Lonchura striata: one gene and its partner. The protein of the gene in region 2 interacts with the protein of the main gene of each other region in a biochemical or structural test. Links are inferred from orthologs where the notes say so. Each region holds a gene or a part of one and is shown on either strand. Other genes may lie near its edges.

The links. The genes of interacting proteins can lie anywhere in the genome.
Region 1: the proteins of ACVR2A (region 2) and GDF2 form a complex in vitro, tested with the Homo sapiens proteins (2 studies listed by BioGRID). The link is inferred for Lonchura striata from reciprocal best matches to the Homo sapiens genes ACVR2A and GDF2.

Annotation. Positions count from the first base shown.
Region 1 is NC_134609.1:14,654,562-14,664,959, reverse strand, and holds GDF2 (growth/differentiation factor 2), read left to right. Parts: upstream 1-6,142; 5' UTR 6,143-6,350; coding exon 6,351-6,696; intron 6,697-8,342; coding exon 8,343-9,283; 3' UTR 9,284-9,330; downstream 9,331-10,398. Other genes in the region: GDF10 (growth/differentiation factor 10), read left to right, coding at 664-855. UniProt on the Homo sapiens protein: Potent circulating inhibitor of angiogenesis. Signals through the type I activin receptor ACVRL1 but not other Alks. Signaling through SMAD1 in endothelial cells requires TGF-beta coreceptor endoglin/ENG.
Region 2 is NC_134610.1:2,545,578-2,556,572, reverse strand, and holds the start of ACVR2A (activin receptor type-2A), read left to right. Parts: upstream 1-6,488; 5' UTR 6,489-8,188; coding exon 8,189-8,243; intron 8,244-10,995. UniProt on the Homo sapiens protein: On ligand binding, forms a receptor complex consisting of two type II and two type I transmembrane serine/threonine kinases.

The DNA of each region.
Region 1 (10,398 bases), on a different chromosome or scaffold from region 2:
GAACTATTTGTCCTGCAGTTATGATCATAAAGGCTCTGTCAGGGTGCTTGACTATTCTGTACTCTCTCCTGTGGACACTACTTCTGGAGTACTCTGCTATTTTAAAAGAGAGTGCTTACTCCAGGAAAAAGTAACTAATTCCAGGTTAGTATACATGAGAAAAAATTATATTGGAACATAGGGATATTTATTTAGGGATAGTTATTTTGGAAATACTTACAGTGGCAAATTTTATAAGTCAGACAGGAGGTTAAGAAAACAAAATAGAGCATCTAGCAACTGAGAACTATGCCCCAACTTAGGCTTCTTCTCTTGCATGTCTGCCTCCAGCATGTAGCAGGTGCATTCAGGAACATTTTTCTTCAGGCCTCTGGCTGCTGGCTGTGCCACCAGTGCCCTCCTCTGGTATTTATGAAGGGCCTAAGGAACACAAAATATCTGTAGGATACATCCAGCTCAGGAAAGCTGGGAGTGTGAGGGACTGGTTGTGCTGCATGGCCCTGTAACTCAAAGAATGACATATTTGCTTTATTGAGAAACAAGCAACTGCATAATTCTTGTGATTTTCTATGTTCACACAAGAAATTGACTGCTTGTACCAAGTCCACCTAGGAAAGTGACTGCTCATAAATGAAGCTATAACTATTTCCTTCTCTGTTCTAGATTGTCCGGCCATCAAATCATGCTACAATCCAGAGCATCGTAAAAGCAGTAGGAATCATTCCTGGCATCCCAGAACCCTGCTGTGTTCCTGACAAAATGAGCTCACTCAGTGTCCTGTTCTTAGATGAGAACAAAAATGTTGTTTTAAAGGTATATCCCAATATGTCAGTTGAAACTTGTGCCTGCCGATAAGTTGGTACAAACACACCTTTAACAAGGCCTACAGATCCTGCCTGACTGCTCTGGGAAGTTGTAGAGGAGAAATGAATCCACTTGTGCTGATGAACCAATGCAAGTCTCCAATTCCTCTACAGAAAGCACACGGAAAGACTAAAACAATGCACGTGCTTGCCTCAAAGGAGAGGTCGTACTGTCATTTGTCTTTCACATTCATCTTCCAGGAATTCAGTACTTCTACAGATACCTTCTAACCCACCTAGCCAAGATACCTGGTGTTTAGAGAGAAATTTAAGTGTAAATTTTCCATAATCAAAAGACTAAAATATGTTTTTATATGTTACTTTCTGACTATTTTATCTCTTCAGTTAACCAAGAAGATGGGAAGTGATCTTGCAAAGGCAGACTTATTTTAGAATATCACTTTTTTACACAAATCAGAAGTTTTTGCCTAAAACACTCATACTCTTAATATGTATATTTATACTGAAAAATGCTGTAATAAAGGGCTTAAAATGTATATTTTCTTCAGGATGCAAGTATAGTTCACTGCATAAGTTTTCATATAAACAATATGTTAATATAGTCATTTTTGGTTACCCTTCCTTAATATATAATTTGTTCTACAAAAGACATGTAATATCCCACATTTTTGGTTTGCTGGTGATTTCAGGTTGTCAAACATATTATCTGAGTAACACATACAATATAGTAATTTGTTCAAATACTAAAATAAAATAACCAAGATTTATATTTTTGTAAATTATTCTTTATAGTCTCTAGATTGTTACATGCTTTTAACAAAAGCTAATAAATTAAAGGTACAGTAGTATCTAAAATATTTGCTTGTTTTTCTATAAATGCACTTTCCTACATTCTGTTAATTAGATGGAAACTTGTAAATACATGTTAAGCTTGTCATAATGCACTTCAATAGATTAAAGATAGAAGGAAATGCTATGATCATCCAGACTGACCTCCTGCATAGCACAGATGAAAGAACCTTGCTCAGCAGTTTCTGCACCATGCATTATGGAACTTCTGTTTTGAGCTTGGGAATATCTTTGAAAAACTTGCATAAATTTGGCTTTAAAGATTTCATGTGATAGAATATCTCTACTGGACTACAAGTAGTTGTTCCAAAAGTTAGTGCTCTTTGTTCATATGCAGTGGCTTAATCCTAGACTGAATTTGATGAGCTTTAGCTTCAATTCAATGGATCTTACTGTAACCTATTTCATTAGATCCCTTTTATCTATTATCCAAAATACTTTCACTGTGTATTTTTAGTATAGAGAGTAGGGTCAAGTTACATTTTGGCTAAGATTTAAATAGATTGATTTCTTATTCTAAGCCTTAAAACAATTTCTCACAGCTCTCTTCTGAACTCTTTCCAGAACTTTCATTAACTTTCTTTTCAAACAATGAACATCAAAATGGGAAACATTTGGCAGTGGTTCCATTGGAAGTCTTTATAGAAATAAAGTCTCTGCATCCCTCTAACTCCTACACAATCCCCTGTTGATACTTTTATGGTAGCCTTTTAACTGCAGCAGCCTTTTAAGAGCTGGTGTTCCCATCATGGTGTCTGTCAATACTCTGGTTGTCCCCATGTTCTAGGACACACTTGCCACATGCTTCATTTTCACCCACCTGCTATAAAATAGCATAAAGAGATCAAGAGTGGAAGAAACATCTGAAGTCCCTGAGGAAGCACAAATTATAAGATATGGAGTGCTTCCTCCTCAAGAAGCAATCTAATTTTAGGCACTACCTTGTCCTGTTAAGAGTTGCTTTGTTTAAGGGAAGGGTGCTACACGCACTTCCTTCTAAAGAACAAATAACTGCAAGGCTCCTATCCTACTAAAGTTCTAGGTATATTCTGCCACCAATTTTCTATGCTCAGCTGGTGCAGTTTCTCAGAAAACAGAGGTATGTAAATGTGGTATTTCCAACATACAAAAAAGCAAGATTCAGCATACATGGGAGGCTTTGCTAGGTTACTCTGACAGAACTTCTTGCTAGTTCTTCCTAGAAAGCTCTGACTTAGAAGTAAAAAGTTCTATGGTGCCCTGTAGTGACTGTCAGTTATGCCTTACAAAAGATCACTGATCAAGTTTGCAGCTCTTCTCCTGAAGTATTTTTGCACTTTGTAAATCACTACAGTAATTTACACTATAATTACTGGGAAAAAACTTTGTATAATGTTGCTTCTAGAGACTTCCCTTAAAAAATTTACAATTTTGTGTTTTTATAAACCATAAGAAACTCAACTACAATTGAAAGAGTAAGCTAACATAGAAAGAAAAATTTAAGATTTGTCAGAAATTTACCATTCCTACAGAAAAGCCATAGTACAACGTTTTTCAAAGTATCTTAAATCCATGTTATTTCTGCTCTCTGCGAGAATCTACCTTTTTATATATGTCTAGTCTTGCTCCCATTTATCACTAGCTCTGAAAAGCCTGACATTAACTTAGTGTGCCTATATTCTCATCCACAGCATTTTATTTTTTCTTAAGGAATACTTGCTATATCTTGAATTAGTCCTTGGATAAAAACATTATTTCCAAGATGTGCTGATGCAAGCTATTATGGCAAGAGATTCCACACTTTGATCTATGGTCAATAGGATATAAGGAAAAATGCTACTGCTACACTCATAAGGATGCCTACAAAACTCCAAGAGGTTAAGACTGCATTTAAAGTTCTATTGGCAAGACTGTATATATTATACCTGTAAGTGTGATTGTTCTCAAAATATACCTTTGCTACACAAGTCATACACATCTCTTATTAGTAAAGCTTATTTCATTTGGAATTTACCTGTACTGGTCAATTCTTCAATGCAAAAAAAGGCTTTCAACCACTTTTAGTAGTTTAAGTTATTCCTTTTGGCATCTTTGTAATTTGGGTGGCTAATCTTTCTCTGGAAGGAGAAACTGCATTCGAAATGGCACAAATGCAGACAGCTGCTGCCAGGGGATGCTGATGCCCTCACTGTCTTGGTTCCAGCAGATCTTTTTTACTTCTCTGAACATCCTATAAATCATTCTGCTCAATGCTTGAGTTTATAGAGAAAGTTACTACTGATAAACACAGGTCAAGACAATTCCACTAACTAATCCTAAAAGAAAATGGTATGAGTAAAGACAGATAAAATAAGAAAACAGTTGATACTGGCCAGCAAAGTGTTAAAACCCATTTTTTCTAAAACAAAACTGATTTCATTCTTTCAGGCCACTGTTTAATTGCCAGCAGTAACAGCAACAGCTACAATGTACCTAGGTTTCTGTGAAATATTCAATTCACTTGCCAAGGCTGCATAATTAAAATAAACCACTGGACAATATTAATATGTTTTTGTATCACATTGATTAAAAAATGTCTCACTGCCAAACCTCAAAGAACAGCTTTCAAAAGGAATTTCCACTGAGTTAAACTGTTCATTGTAAAGTTTCTGCAAAGCTGACACTTGGCCTGACAGTATTTGACACCTTTATGTATGAACTTTGAGTCTGTATATAGCAACTCCCGCTGCATTTGCAGAAGAGAGATGTTTATATAGACCACTTGATCTAGCTGCACTCAATGTAATTAAAATTAATTTTAAAGTAGGCAGATACAGAGGTTCAGGTACCTAGTCTCAAGGAATGGAGGCTGCTCCTACTGAGTACAAGACTTCACCCTTGAAAGTCATAACTCTTAAGAATTTTGTGGCTGTCATAGATTTGTGATGCAGTTTGAGCACCCAGCATGATGCTATGGAATGGAAGCCAGTGAAAGCTTTGAAAATATACACACTAGAGCAGTGAACCACATAAAAAAAGGATATATTATTTCTTCATGTGGCACTGGTGGACTGCCACTAGAAAACTATATATAGCCCTAGGTTTCACCTTGTCAAGAAGGCCTTCAAATTCTGAAAGACAAACAAAAAACAAAGAAACCAAAACAGGGAGAGAAAATGTCTTTTGTTACTAAAGAGAACAATCTGTTTATCAGAAAGAAAACTGAGAAGTAATTTGATTACACTGTGCAAGCACTTTGAAAGGGGAAAATGTCAGTGCTATGGGACTCCTTAAATGAGCCAGAAAGTTACAAGAATTCCTGTCTAGAAGGTAAAGTCAGGCACAATGAAATAATGAACATGGCATGAAGGGGTTTTTAGCTGCAGGTGATAATATTTTAGCTAAAAAAATCAAAATTTTTGATTCTTTGACATATTCAGATAAAGTCTGTTGGCACTTAAAAATATATGTTTATCCAAACACAAACAATTTGACTCTGCATGTAGGTATAAAACACAAAGGCCCTGAGTAAATATAAGTCTTGCTATATGAGAGACCAGGATCAATGCCAAATAATCCTTTTTGACTTTATGTCATAGGAACATAATTAACCAGGATCTTGGATCCAAGTTGTCGCTTGAACAGAGTTGTTAGAAAAAATGATGCATTATTAGTACAGAAAAAACAATTATGTATCATTAGATTAAATCACAATACATTCATTAACATAAATAAACCTGGTTTTTCTTCTGTATCATGAGAAATTAATTTGCCTTGGCCTGTTCTTCTCATGCACACAATGTCTTCAGAGATAATCTTCTGTATCTTCAAAAGGACTTTTTATTTTCCATGTGGCCTTGGAAGGCCTGGTTCTGTCTTCATTTTGAGGTTGCTGAAAAAATGATTGGTTGTTCTTGGACTGGATCAACCATCATGAATCTATGAGATATATTGCATAAGATACTATAAAAACAAGCCTAAATTCCCATACACCAAAGGAATGAAAATGAACAAGCCTGCAAACAACATGAAACAAACTTGACACAAAACAGATTTCACTGTGTACAAACAATAGCCCTTGGCTGATAAACGGAAAGAAGTTTAAAGGTTGTTTGTAATGTCATGAGATCATGTCTTGCAGAATCACAGGTCTTTATCAAACTAATGGGCATTTTCTAATCATATGTGAAGGGATTATATAAATCATTTGTGAGATGTTATTTGTTAATAGCTAATAGAGTGATTTTGTTCTAGAGCTGTATTTTCTAGTCTTGCTGAAAACAGTGCAAACTTCTGTGTTCCTAAGAAAGCATCTCTCTGTGTTGGCAAGGAAATGATAGAAGAATGTAATTAAGCAAAGATGACCCTAAAGTGAAATGTGGATTCTTTACAATATACAATGTCCTTTCCACCAGCCACATGTGTTTGTCAGATGTTTACAGAATCTTCATTAACTAAGAGCTTTGCTAGATAACAGAAGCTGAAGCATGGCATCAATGACTCTGATAAGGACAAGTGTATGACCAATCTGCTTGACAACTGACAAGAGGCTGGGGTTTGAAGCAGACTGCAGAAAGAACACCAGAAAGTGATTTGCAAAGGGCATTCCAGTTGTTTGCCTTACATCTTCTTCCCTCTGTCTTTATTGAAACAAGACTGGCAATCAGCTAAAATACCCTTGTCCTCTTGTTTCTCCACCAGAAAGTAAATATAGAAGAAATGTGTTGTTTTGGAGTATTAGCTGCACTGTCTGTTTTCAACATCATTGCCTGTTTGACAAGAGGCAAGCCTTTGGAAGACTGGGACAGGCTATCAGCTATGGGAAAGTCTGATGCACACTTTCATGATCCCAGGGAAGTAGAAGATGAGACCCATTTCAACTTTAAATCTTTCTTGGAGAATATGAAGATGGATTTACTAAGGAGTTTGAATTTGTCAAGAGTACCCTCACAAGTGAAGACAAAAGAAGAACCACCACAGTTCATGATTGATTTATACAACAGATATGCTGCAGACAAGTCCTCCATCCCTGCATCCAATATTGTAAGGAGCTTCAGTACTGAAGGTAGGAAAAGTCCTCAATATGTGGACTACAATTTTTAAAGAAGTACCTTAATAGTAAATAGATCCTTTTGAAATTCAGAAGAAACTGAGTTCCTAACTTCCACAGATTCTTCAGAAATGAAACATTAAAATTTTCTATTATATTCTTACTATATCGTTTCTTTCAATTTTTAAAAAATGCAGTTACCTTTAGTTTTCTTCTTTGATATTTTCACTGTACAATATTCTCTTCTCAAATGCTTCAGCTAAGATGATGCACCAAATAACAAAGTTTACATGTTTCTCAATCCTAGATATTTCAAACTGAGTTTTTATGTTAGCATGCAAACTTTGATCACCTATAATTGAGACTGATGCTAGAGAGTTTTTCTCTTTTGGCAGGCTCTGTACATATTTAAAAACTCCAGCAACCAACTGAGAAATTTGTTGCTGGATTCCAGCAAGAAACAGCACTGTTCCTCCAAAATTCTGGGTTACACTAAGATTTATATGAAAATGGTCAATCATACTCATATCAACAGAAAAAAATTCAAGATCCCTGTTTATGTAACATTAAATAGACTTTTAAAATATCCGTCAGGCAGTAAAAAAGTTAGAAGTAAGTGCAGTCCTCGTTACGAAAATGAAGCAGGGAGAAATGAAGTTTCTGTTTATATTAAAAACAGACATACACAGGTAACAGCATTACAGAGAACTCCAAATTCCCAAATTAGTGTCCCTAATCCTGAAATAGAAAGAAATCTCAACAATAGGACCTAGATTATAGTTTCTATATCTGACTCTTCCCTGTGACTACTTTACAGGGTAAATGGTCTGAAGAAATGGCAGCAACAGCTAATTGAAATTCCCTAAAACCCAGTCATGATTAAGCAGTTAGCTTACACTGAGCATTAAATAGACATCAGGGATGACTTTTAAATACTACCAATCTGATCTTCCAGCCAAATACCTGCCCCTCCCAAGGCAGACTTGCTGGTACTGCATATAGATTTGCAGACAACAAACAAATGTGAACAAATCCACACAAATTCAAGGAATCCAGCCTGGAACAGTCTGGACCTGGGCATGAAAGACTGTTTAGTACCAAGACCCCCTTCAGACAGACACTGGACCTTCAATTCAGGACTTTCAAAAACTTTTCTATTTCCCCAAACTCCCAGTCTAAGCTGCCTTCAAACTTATCTGAAGACAACAACAAAAGCTTCAGCACAGCCAGTTCTTAAAGACACTTATATATGTATATTAGAGCAGAAGAGTATCAAACCATTAATTTTTTTACAAATTCTTTCTGTAAAAATATCTTTAACAAATTGCTACATCTGAAAACTCTGCACATGCCTTATTTATGTATTTAATACTGCCCAGCATCATCCATAGCTTGGTCTAGGCAGCCTCTTTATGCTTCCCCTCACACACTCACCTGGCTTTGTAATCACAGTAAAATACTACCAACACCAGGGACTTCCATTTCCTCTTTTCACTCTCTGCCCTTGAAACTTGGCCAGAAGACAGGATTTTTCTTTCTTTATTTTTTTTTAATGCTGTGTTTCCATGCTCTTATTTTATCCCCAAAATATATAGTCTATTAAAATCAAGTTACTTGGATAGTCAGAAACACTGTAACCACATTTTAATTTCCTATTGCAGATGTTGTTTCTTTAGATTCACCAGAAGAAAACCCATTTCAGAAACACATTTTGTTCTTCAACATCTCTATTCCACAATATGAGGAAATCACCAGAGCTGAACTGAGAATTTATATCTCCTGTCACAGGGAAACTGGGTCTCTCTCAAGGCTGGAAGGCAACATGGTAATTTATGATGTTCTAGATGATGGCCACTGGGAAAACCCAGAAAGTACCAAATCTTCCCTTGTTTCCCACAATATCCAGGAATGTGGTTGGAAGATGTTTGAAGTGTCCAGCGCTGTGAAAAGATGGGTCAGGGCAGACAAACTGGAGACTAAAAATAAGCTAGAGGTTGTTATAGAGACTAAAGCTCTGAGTGGTTTTACCTGTGGGAAGCTGGATGTCAGTGTTACTCCTGACGCAAAAAACCTGCCCCTGTTAATAGTGTTCTCCAATGACCGTAGCAATGGGACCAAGGAGACCAAAGTGGAGCTCCGCGAGATGATTGTTCACGAGCAAGAAAGTGTGCTCAAGAAACTAGGGAAGAACAACACTTCATCTGAAGAGGAACAGCAGGGAGAGGAAAAGGCCATCACTGGATCCCACCGGCATTCCTCCAGAAGCAAGAGAAGTGTTGGAGCCAACCACTGCAGGAGAACTTCCCTCCATGTGAACTTTGAAGAGATTGGCTGGGATTCCTGGATCATCGCACCAAAAGATTATGAGGCTTTTGAGTGTAAAGGGGGTTGCTTCTTCCCTCTGACAGACAACGTCACCCCAACTAAACATGCTATTGTCCAAACTCTGGTGCATCTCCAAAATCCAAAAAAAGCCTCCAAGGCCTGTTGTGTTCCGACCAAACTGGATTCAATCTCCATTCTTTATAAGGATGATGCTGGTGTGCCCACTTTGATATATAACTATGAAGGGATGAAAGTGGCAGAATGTGGCTGCAGGTAGTATACAAGGCAGAATCTCTAAGAAAAGGAACATCCCCTTTATCTGTCCTGTGCAAATCTGTACAACAGTGATGCAAATGAAGACGATTGCAAACAGGGTTAAGAGCATGGTATGGGGCTGATTTTTGTTGCTGCTTGTTTTAAGGGAAAATTGGCATTTAAAGAATGCCAATCTTTGTAAATAGCCTGCATTATATATCATGGCAAAGTGAATACTGGATTAAAATATTGTGAGATTGAATGAAGTATGCATTATCTGGTGATACAATGTCAATGCCTTATTTCAAACTTTCTGTTTAATCAGCAGTATTTTAGGTCACAAACTAGAGGATTTTCAGTGGGGGTTTATGATGTCCTGCAAATGTTTAACTGCTCTTGAAATCTAATTCTCTCAGTTAACTGTGACATTTTCAACTTGGGTAAAACTCGGTAAATGGAATGTTGTCTGCATGATAAAGTCAGGAATCTAAATCCAGGAAGCCTTTGCTCATATCAGTAATCTCAGAGGCTTTTACAGGCAAATTATTTGTTCCTGTAAGTGAAGATCTGCAGTATTCAAAACAGAACAGACGCTCACTTATTTCATTCCCAAGTTTCCTTCTGTGGGTAGCAGGTGCCTTAGTTTCAGCTTTCTTATCCTCAACGTCCCTATTTTTACCCCTTTATGGCACACACTTGAATGATAAGAAGTGCAGCCTTCCGCTTCTAAGACACTGTTTCCTAGGAGGAGCAGCAGCCCTTATCGCCGCACAAAGATAAGGAGCCACTTTGACCTACTGCATATTCTTAGTATTTCTTTGCAAGAACATGCAGTCAAATGGTGTCCAGCCTTAGAAGTTGTATCCTAAGAGCAGTGGGGGTTGACAGAGCTCAGCACTTTTGAAAAGCTCAGGCTGCTTATTTAGAGGCCTACATTTGTTGTTCAGAGTCTGGAATGAAGTTCTGATTTTTTTAAAATGTCTTCTTAGGAGAAACGCTATTTTACATGCAAAACTCTTTCAACCCTTAGAAGCCTGGGAAAAATTGAAAACTTCTGTGTTACATTGCTGTATGAGAAATATACTATCATACTATAATTCTTCTGATTTCAGTTGTATTTTCACTAAACAAGGATGC
Region 2 (10,995 bases):
TCAGCTTCCCTAACTCTGCACATGAAACAAAAATACTTTTCCCCTTGCAGTTTCATGAAAGTTAATTAGTTGATATTACTAAAACTGGGTGTATGTACTAGGTATCACTACAAAATTAGAAGTACATTTTCATTGCCTAAAAAATTTCAAGGCAAAAAAAAAGAGCCTTTATATCAGAAAGGTTGATGCTGTGTACAAAATTTTCTAAGTAAATGGGAAAAATGGCTAAATTTTGTGCATTTAAAACACCCTGAGCTAAAAAAAAACTTCTCACTCTAGGGGTTAAACAGGATTTTGCCTCAGATATTAAACAGAATTTAATCTCAGATATTAACATTATCTGTTCAATGTCTGAATTGGAATTATTATAGAATTATGTGCAGATGAATTAACTCCAAAACTATTCAGCAGTAGAAGCTGGAGCAGGATTTAGCTCCCCGGTGGTCTGAACAATGGATAAGAGCACCAGGCTGGGATGTTCTGCTGGTTGCAGAAGAAAGATTCTGGGTTTGAATTTTCAGGATTTAAAATCCCTGGAATGGTTCAGCCCATCCATCTTGTCAGAGCACAATCACCAGAGAGAAATGTTCCAGATGGATTGTGCTCATGAAAAAGAAGTGAGCAGCTATTAGGGCTTCCCTGAGAGACTTTCAAGCCTAGAAATTTGTCCTTCTTAAAATCTGAAATGGGTCAAATTTGGGAATCTTCCACACTTCTTCCTATGAAACCTGTAATGTGCCAGATTTTCAGGAATTACAGCACTTGGGGGAGGAATTATTTCTGTCACAGTGAGCAGGAACAAAGGGGTGCCTGAGCTGCTGTTGGCAGGATTATTTTAATGCTACTTAAAATCTGTGCAGAAATTATGAAATCCCTAAATCAGGGATTATGGGCTGCAACCAAAACACATTGATTTAGAGCAATTCACAGCCATTGTCCCAGAGTCACACCTGTGACTTCATCAGGATTCCTGCTCCATTCCCACATCCCTCCTCTAACAAAGGGTTCAGATAACAGCAGCAAGAGCAGCAGCTGCATTTCCCTTAAGGAAATGGGCCTCAAATCATATTGCAATCCTTTTCCTTTGCAGGAAGGCTTTATTAGCCTGAACCTGCTGCCTCTGGAAGCAGGACAACTGCTTGTGCCATGTCATGTGCTTGTAAGGGTTAATTCTGCACTCCCCAGTTATCAGCAATAAAAACTATAAAATTATTAGCAGTTTGTCCATTACCAGGGGTCTTCACCTTCCTTTTGTAAAATTCCAAATGGCAAATTGTCAGCTGCAACACCCGTGGATGATTTGATAAACATTTGACTCCCTGTTCCCATCCCTTTCTGAAACCAGTCACATTCTGAATCCTCAACTTCTTAGCTTTTAGCACTACCAGTAACTAATATTTGAGTCCCAGAATCCTCCAATCCATCTGACCCTTCCAGAATTCCACTTCCCATTATCATTTTATATCAATACTGCAGGAAACTTTATTATTATCTGTTGAAGCAAAAAATGGCATTCATTTGTCTTCCCCAGCACTCATCTTCTCTGTGACATCGATCTGAACCAAAAAATATTTCCAGGAATGTTCTCCTTACTGAGGTTTTAAATTACCAAAGCATCAGGCAGCTCTCCTGACCCCACCCTTCAGAAAGCTTCTAGGATATTTTGAATGACACCAGAAGTAATTACAGCTATTCATGTATTTGTATTTCAAAACAACCAGAAGTCATATTGACACAATAATTCAAAACAGCACACAGTTGAATACTCTGAAGCTCTGACAATCTCTTCTCTACACTTGGCCACTTCACACTCCTACTTCTTATAACTATTTAATTACAAATTGTTGGCCTAAAATATTTTAATCTTTATCAACAAATATATGTATCAAGCCTTTCAAATGCAGTGCAAAAGATCTTTAAAATCTGCTATCACTGTCAGGACGCTGTAGCAAAAAAACAACAAACGCTTGTCACATATTTTAAGAATCCTTCAAAAATAACGTTGAAAACATGACAATGTTGCAGAACTTTTGCATTCTGTGATGAACACAGAGTCAGTTTGTAACAGAATATATAAATTATGGTGCATTCTGAGAAGGGAGATCTCTACACAGACCTGCAGAATCTCATTTTCATGGCACTGACTGGGATTTTAGGAATTCAGATTGGACTCTTCATGAAGAGTCAAAGGATCCTACAAAAAAAAGATCCTACAGTACAAATGAGGACTAGAGGAAAATATCCAGAAAATGCAATTTTGCTGTGAAATATGGATTAAATCATAGCTGATAAATGCCACAGTGATAAAACCCTGTGACACCACGAAGTGCCCCTCAGAGAAAAGGGAGTGTCTGAAAGCAGCCAGAAGCTCCAGTGGGATGGTTTCTTCTGACAAGACTGCAAATTCTAGAAAGAAACATCCCTACCTCCTCCAGGAAAATAGGTTAGGTAGCTTGCAATCCCTGTTTTAAGGAAGCAAAAGTCTGGCTAACAGGTCAAAAAGGAAAAAGAATCCTTGGTTTAAATGTAACTTTTGTGGAAACAACTTGATGAAACTTGTATCAAAGTTAATTTCTGTAATATTTTGTATCTTTTTAAACCTGAGGCAGGGAAAATAATCCCTGGTGGCGTAGGGTCTATAGGCTCCAGGTGTTTAATTGAAAAGGGAATTTGTGCACACAAACTCGCTACAAAAACAGCTTTAGAGAACGTGATCCAGTCCAAATCCTGTCACTGCTCATGTGAATAAAATGATCCCACTTTAGCCCTGCACCAAAACAGGGCTGGGATTTCAGCCAGTATCTGAATTTGTGGATGCTCAGCTGGATTCAGCAACTGCATCTAAAATTTAAAAGTTTGATTTGAAACATTAAAGGAGAACATTTTGATGCTCAGCTATGTCGCCCCAACCCAAAAGCATTGCAGAGGCAAGCTTTGGATTTCATTTCAGTTCATCAGCAGCATTTAAAAGGTTAATTAAGTCCACATTCTCTCTTGTTTTCAAGTTGTGATACTCATATAGTTGTGAAGTATCTTAAGAGTTTTGGAACAGAGTAAAAAGTGCAAAATAATGAATAGTTTGTAGGAATTTTATTATTTGTCCACAGCAACAGAACTGAAAGTCTGTATTAAAACTCTTTTGGAATATGGTGAGTTTCACATAAATCATGCATATGAAAGCAAAAATACTTTAAAGCAGTTATTTACCTTTTCTAAAATAAAATAATTTAGGCTGCCATCCAGCACCTTTTCCCAAAGGAAACTGAAGCTGGCTGGTAAAGAGGGCAACACTGGGACAGATTAATTTCTTGACATTTTGGTCCTTTTTTTTTTTTTTTTTTTTTTTTTTTTTTTTTTTTTTTTTTGTTGGTTTTTTAAGGACAGTGCCTGAATGGGGTCTTCTCTTCCTCCAGAGTTTCAAAGGGGGAATGACTTAGACCACAAGGAAAGATGAAAGAGATAATGACAAGGATTCTCTCTGTTGGTGTCACTCCTGATGTTATCAACACCATGCTTCCCATTTTGCATTCAGAAATGTTTCTCTAGGTGTTCTGAATGAGTTCTGCACAAAAACTCCTCTCCTTCCACGTTGGGTTTTGTGTTGATTCACTGCTAAGAGTGGGAATAGCAAAGGCACAGCTGAAATCCTCAATTCCTAGCAGTGCTCCAGAGAGAAAAATGAGACATTGCTGGGTTTTAACTCTCCTCATTACTCCCTAGAAGGAAAAGTTATATTTGCGCTGCCTCTAGGCAAAGTCCCATCCCACATGAACAAAAGACTGAAGCTAAGATCACATCCATTTCATCTCCTCCTGCTCTCCACAGATGCTTAAGTCCCTGACACTGTGTCTTCGGTGCTCATATGTCACAGTAAATGATTCATTAAAAATGCACAGACAGATTGATCTTGGAAGGGGGAAAAAAAAAGATCTGGAGTTTGAGGCGAAAGGAAAATAGAAATGATGAGCCAAAAGGTGAAAAAGGGAAACACTCCCAAAATTCACATGAGAAAGACATTTAAAAATAAAGAGGAGACAGCAACTGTGCTGACATTTAATGTGTCTGCTTGGGATAAAACTCATCCTTTTACTAGCAATAAAACAACAGCCTAGCCCAAAGCCCTTGAAGCATTTTGCATCAAGTACCTCATAAAAACGGTTGGCAATTTCTCCTAAGGTCTGTAGAATATCTACACCAAACTATATAATTTTTTTGTGTGTGTAATTAAATGGGAGCAAATCCCCAGTGCAGGTTGGAAGATCTCCTTGATCCCAGCACCAACACTCATTGCAGACCCCTGGCCATGCTGAAAAGTGGCGAGGAAAAGGAATGAGCTCTCCTTGTGGTGCTGATAAGAGTAACCCCACAGAATGACTGGGTTTGCAAGATTTCCTGGATGGCCAGAAGGATTTGCTCTGCCAGAGGAATCCTGCCAGCAAAAAGCAACCCCTGCCTAAGGATAATAAGCTCCTTGAGTAAGAGACACCTCCTTGCCATGGCAAATTCTCTTATATAGGTGACACATTTATTCTATTTTTATCAAAAACAACCAGTAAAATAGAAATATGGACCATAATTTACACTCTTTCAGAAAAAAGAAAAAAAAAAACAACAACAATGACAACTAAACCAAATCCTTGCAATGGGAAGTACATATATAAATATATATTCACACACACACCAGCAATATTTTTAGCTATGATTTCCTACTCATGTGGCAACATGACCAGTGTTCTGAAGAAGCTGAGCCAAGTGAAAACACAACCTGCAGAACAGGTCACGTTTAAATATTCTGCTATTGAAGAATATTAAAAACTACAGATTAAGTAGGAGTGTTGTAACACTTAACATTAATTAACGCTTGTAAATCACTCTGAAATACTTGGATAAAAGATGGTATAAAAGGTGTTGCCACATGTCTTGATGCTTCTAGATGTGCACAAGCCCTGACATCTTATTTTGTGTTTGGGAGATTTCAAATCATAAAAAAAATATGGTCACTGGATGAATTTAATGTTGGGAAGTGTTGGGACACGACAAAGAAACACCAAGGTTGTCTGATTAAGAACTCAAGCAGACACCTCATTGTAAAAAAAACTGAAATAGATCAATTTCTTGGATCCTGGTGGAGCACCAGGTCTAGTTACTGATCTGTGAGTTACAGCTTAGCAGTGTGGCTAAGCCTTGACTTGGCTGTATATTCATATATGTGAAATACAGATAATTTTCCTTCCAGTTTAGTAACACCGGCTATTCACATCCCAAAAAAACCCCTTAGTCCATGCCACCAAACAGTTTGAAAGGAATCTGGGAGCACCTAACACCTGGGGGTGGTGAACAGGATAACCAGCTCTCAGAGAACTTGGCACTTGTTGCTTGTGCAACTACAGATCTTTATAGAATACAGAAATCAAAGGCCAGCACTAAGGCTCTTCTGTTTTCCCACAGAGATCTCCAGATCTAAGAGCCACGTCTTCCTTTTCATCCAGAGACAAGAGATGTGTTTTATGGCATCCAGCTAAGAAAAAAAAAAAAAAAAATTGTAAGGAGTGACACCAAACTTGTGAATGAGCAGAGTCTATTAGTGACCTGGACAGGACACACAAACACACTCCAGGTGCCTTCCAGCACCTCGGGGGAGCCCAGCAGAAGCACGGAGAGAACAGCACGGAGGGCAACTGGAATGGATTCCAGCTTACAAAAGGGCAGGTTTCAATTAGATGGGATATTGGGAAGGGATTGCTCCCTCTGAAGGTGGGTGCCCAGAGAAGCTGAGGCTGTCCATGGACCCCTGGCAGTGCCCAAGGCCAGGCTGGACAAGGCTTGGAGGAGCTGGGATGGTGGAAGGTGTCCCTGAGCATGGCAGGGGGTTGGAAATGAATGATTTTTAAAGGTTCTTTTTAACCCAAACTCTTCTGTGACTCTGATTCTGTGCTGTAGCAGCAGTGATGCTCCTGAGCAACGTGCCCACAAACAGAGACCACCGTAGCTCTCACCTGCACTACCTGCAGGACATTTTGGGGCTGGGGTGGCGATGAGGCAGAAGCCCAGGCCAACATTTGACCCCAGCGGCAGCGGCCCCAGCCTCCCCCCGCTGTGTTACACCGTCCTGACCCCTCCCAGCCAGCTCCCACCGCGTGGCCGCCGGCAGCGTTTTGCCTCCAGCACCGGAGCCCCCCAGCACCTCGAAGGAGCCCCGCGAAGGGGAATTAGCGACGGCGGGGAGCGGGGTCGGGCGGAGCGGGGCGAGGGCGCCTGAGGGGCCGCGCCCTGAGGGGCGGGAAGGGCGGGCGGGAGCGCGCCCGTGAGGCGGCGCGCGCGGGCCGCGGGGGGCGGGGCCAGCGTGGGGGCGCGCGCTCCGCCCCGCCGCCGATAGGAGGGGCGAGAGGAGGTGGGCGGGGCTAAGGCACAAACCCCGCGTTGTGATTGGGTGGCGCGGCTGTCAATCCGGCGCGGCCGCCGCGGCCGTGGGGAAGGAGGGGGAGGCGGAGAGGAAACAAAAACAATCGCCCGGGCGCCGCCATCTTGGGCCGGTTCTCCACACGCCACACGGGTGAATGGGTAGATATGAGATTACCACGGGGGAGCAGCGGCAGCAGGGCACCGAGGGCTGTTCCGCGCTGCCAGCGACACTCGGCGGGCTCTAGGCACGGCCGCCGCCGCTCGGAGAGAATCCCCCGGCTCGGCCTTTTCGCCTCGCCAGCCCCTAAGCTGCACTGCTGGAGGGACAAAGTTGGGCTGAGCCGCGCTGCCTCCGCCGCCCGGGAGACCGGAGAGTTGAGCCGGGGTCAGAGTTAGGGGAGAGGGTGAGGAGGGGATCGCTCCCCGCTCCGCCGTGTGGGAGGCGCGGGGAGAAGGCTCTGCCTCCCCGCCCCTGCCGTCTCCTGCTGCTCGCTCCTAGGAGGAAAAGAAAAAAGAGGAGGAAAAAAAAAAAAAAAAAAAAAAAAGAAAGAGGCAAGAACTGGATTGAGCTCGGAGGGGTGGATTTTGTGGAGCCTCCGTGTGTGAGCAGCGGCGGGGCGGCCAGGAGGAGATGTGTCCGTGAGGAGGGAGAGGAGCGTGGATCCATCCAGGAGCCGTGAGCTGCGAGAGGAGCCGGGATCCATCCAGCCCCAGCCGTGAGGCACCGCCGCCTCCCTTCCAAAGAAGCCCATTTCTCCTGGAAGCACGGCGCTCGGCAAGGATTTGCCACAAAGAATATACCACCCTCCTTCCCAGCGCCTGGATACTGCATTTTTTTTTTAATTTTTTTTTGGTACCCCCCTCCCCAGCCACTCTTGTGTGTTTAAATACCAAATATAGCCTCTCGCGGGGGGAGGGGATGGAAATCTCCTAGAAGAATTGGAAATCTTGCTGGGATTCGGGAGTGCTGGTGTTGGAGAAGGGCGGTGAAGAAGGGGGGATGCACTGCTCTCGCTGCCTGGCCAAGGACTAGAGATTTGCCACTTCCCGGGAAGCCCGAAGGTTTGTTTGTTCCCAGACTGTTGTTTCCCCCCTTTCCCTCTCCTGGGCTACGCTAAATCCCTCAGCATTTATTCAAGAAAACCCACGTGTAGCTGGTGGCTGGTTTTTAAGGTAGTTTTTAATCTACAAACTGACAAAAAAAAAAAAACTTCCTCTCTTCGCCCCGAGGTTTGGAACTGGAATGGAGCTGCTTTTCTCCCAAACACTACAGGAGGTGTGAAGTGGGGGAGGCAGGACGAAAACATCGCCTTGGACTGATCCCGATCCGACCCCCCGACACTCGCACCCACGAGGGATGATCCTTCTCGGCGCCTGATGTGGAAAACATTTGGAGACTCAGAGACTTCGTCGAGTTCAGCAGCTTAATCGTTGACTTATTTTGTTTTGGTTTTTATTTTTTTTTTTAAGTGGATTGGTAGCATTACTTTTATTAATTGAATTTTGCCACCGTTTGTACAGAAGCCAAATGACACGTGTGTTTTGAAGCACGGTTCCAAATATATTTATCCCTCCCTCAACCCGGATTCTGTCTAGAAAGAGCCTTGGGGAGGTCGTCACTGTCTAAACAAACCTGATTTTTAGTGTTTTATGAACACTACCTGCTGCAGAAATGTTGCTATAAATTGCTTTATAACGGTTCAGCAAGAAGGGAGATTTTTCCAGCTTGCAGGACCCAGAAAACTGGATACTTAAAGTCACTTAAATGTTTTAACAGCATTGGAAAATGGGAGCTGCTACTAAGTTGGCGTTCGCTGTTTTTCTTATCTCTTGTTCATCAGGTAAGTGAATGTTCCTGGATTTGTCACTTTAAACTGAGGGCTTTGGGGTCAGCACTCGAAAACTTGGGCTGGCTCTGTATGAATGAGAAGAAATCTTATTTTTTTTTCAGGAGGCTAATACTTGTGGATGGCAGCGACTGTAAAGGCAGAAGCTGCTTTCGTCTTTATTCTTAAAAATATAAATAACGTGAGCACTTGAAACGCTCGCAGCGCTTGGATTTCAGATCAATTGTGTGGAATAAATGTGGAGATATAACCACCTAGTGTCACATAAGTAACCTGGCAGCGCAGCTATCGGTGTTGGATGCTGGTTTTAAATAAGAATTACCCAGCTGAAATGCTCTTTCCTTCAGTTTGATCTCTCTTACCCCGGACTATTCACTGGTGAATAGCGACCTTCGTTAATGCTTCATTAATTTAGAATAGGTGCCGCTCTGAAAGGCTGGGCTCGTCCTTTGGTGACAGCGAGGGGTGTGTGCGTGTAGAGATGTACCAACAGAACTGGGGTGAAAAGCCGGGCTTTCAGTTTCTAAAGAACCATTTGCAGCGCTTTGTATTTTGGTATTCGTTATGTCACTGCCTTTTAGCGCAGAAAAGAAAAAAATCTACTAATTTTTTCTGTCAAACAGCAGAACTGGGGGTTCAAACGCCAGCGCTGAGTCTTGGGAAGCGAGCGGGGTGCGAGGACTTCCCCACGCTTTTCCAAGAGGAAAATTGTTATGGCAGCAACCAGTGGTTGGGCAACTGTTGGTCCATTTGTGCTTGGAGCTCCGTCAGTCTCACAAAAACCCCTCTTAGGAGCTGAGTGAGGATCTAACGCGGCTTCACAAGCCAGCCTGGCGCTCTGTGCCCGCATTCGGAGCGTGTCTTTATTGCTCTGGGTGGGTTTTTAGCATCCTTGCAGGGTGTGCAAAGCTACACTTGTTTATCAGGCTAAAAGCTCGCAGACAAGTGCTCAGCCTCCCCGTGTGACCGAGAGAAGGGAGTAATGAGATCCCTGTAAGGATGCCTTTTAAATTTCCAGCGCTATGGAGTTGGAGGATTTTGCTGAAGAGGCCGTTTTGCTGTGGTTAGTAAATGGATAAGTCTCGTCTTGTGTCTGTAGTGCTATCGATCCGCACTGTGTGCGCTAAATGTGCTGTGAAATGGCGAGCGCTGCCAGGAGAAACCCAAAAACCCTGCCTGTGCTAACCAGGGAAACGGCACAGCGGCTTAAGGACAGCCAGAAGGGTGTTCGGGATGGTTAATTTTTATTCTTCTTTTGAAACAAATCATCATTTCTGACAGCTTTTGCCTTGCAGTGAAGACGTGTGTGTCGTCTTTTCCTAATGCCTGATTTTTCAGCTCAGCAGCGTTCCTTTTAATTCAGCAATATGTTTTGTAGGGAAACTTTTTTCCCCCCTCTCACTAACAGTTTCTGAAAGACTTGCTGCCATCTGCTCTCCGTGTCTGTCTCTCTTCCACGTCCACCTCTAAGATCCTTTTGCCTAGAGCACAGAACAGTGGTTTTTGTTGACATTACCTATCAGACTTAATAAAAAAGAACAGCTAAGCAATAAAGAGCGTCTTTTCTTTAACGTTTCTCGCTCGGGTTGTCCTTGGTAAGGTGAAAAGAATGTTCCTCTTGCCTGTGAAGAATTAATCTTGGCTAAATGAGCAGGAAACCGCCTGCAATCCGGGCTGCTTCTCATGTTAATGACATTGTTTTGGTGGTTATTCCAGTATTACACATTAAGTGTTCCGGTACTTAACAATTATTGTACTATTTTCCACTCACACCAGCACTGCACTCTAAAATTTTAGGCAAGTCTAAAAATAAATAAATTCAACAGTAAACTGTTGGGTTTTTGATGAGAACTACAAGATTATGCAAGATTTTAAGCTTGAAGTGCAGGCGTTTTTATGAGTAGTGTTTCTTAACTGCCTTATTTCAGTTTAAAACCGTACCTGATGGATTGGTTCTAACATCATCATCGCCAGAATTTTCTTTTTCAGTCTTTAGTGTGAAAATCAGTCCTGTATTTTGAAATATTGACGATGGTTAAGAAAATCTTGGAGTTCAGGTGTATTGATGGCTGACTTTGGTGTGCAGCTCCAGCTCCTGTCAGGCTCTTTCAGCGACTGGGGGTTTGGTTTGCTGTATTTGTTAATTTATTTTTAAATACAGCTATTTTCTGCAGATGTTTACATGGCCAATTAATACCGGGGTTCTTTTAATAGGTGAAAATGTTGTGGTTTTTTTTCCTGCGTGGTGGGTGTGGAAGTGCTATTTCGGTTCAAAGTGATTTATTTTATTATCTGTAAACTGCACTATGAAATGCTGTAAATGTACTGCAAATGGAGAGGAATTTCCAGCGAGTTTAATCATCTTTGTTAAGAGAGTGAAAATATTTCCCCGTTCTGACTAAGATACTGGAGAAAGAGCATCTGTGTTGTTATTAGGCTTTAAAATATTTGTAGATGCTTGGATAGAAGTGGGTGTAGGTTTGCACCCATCTGTAGGAGCTCCAGAGGCTGAGATGAATGCACATTAACTAAACAAGAAAACAAAGTGCCCGGGTCAAGGTTCTCCATGTGCCCTCTAATATACTTCTTAGATAAACCTGTGTGCATGCTTGATTTCAGAAGGAGTAGAAGATCCTGAAGTAATAATAAAATACTTCAGAACAATCTTCCTGTGCCTCTGCAGTAGGTGAGGCAGGATTGGAGGGGAGCTTCACAGGAAAACTTGTGACAGAAGCAGCTTGTTCAT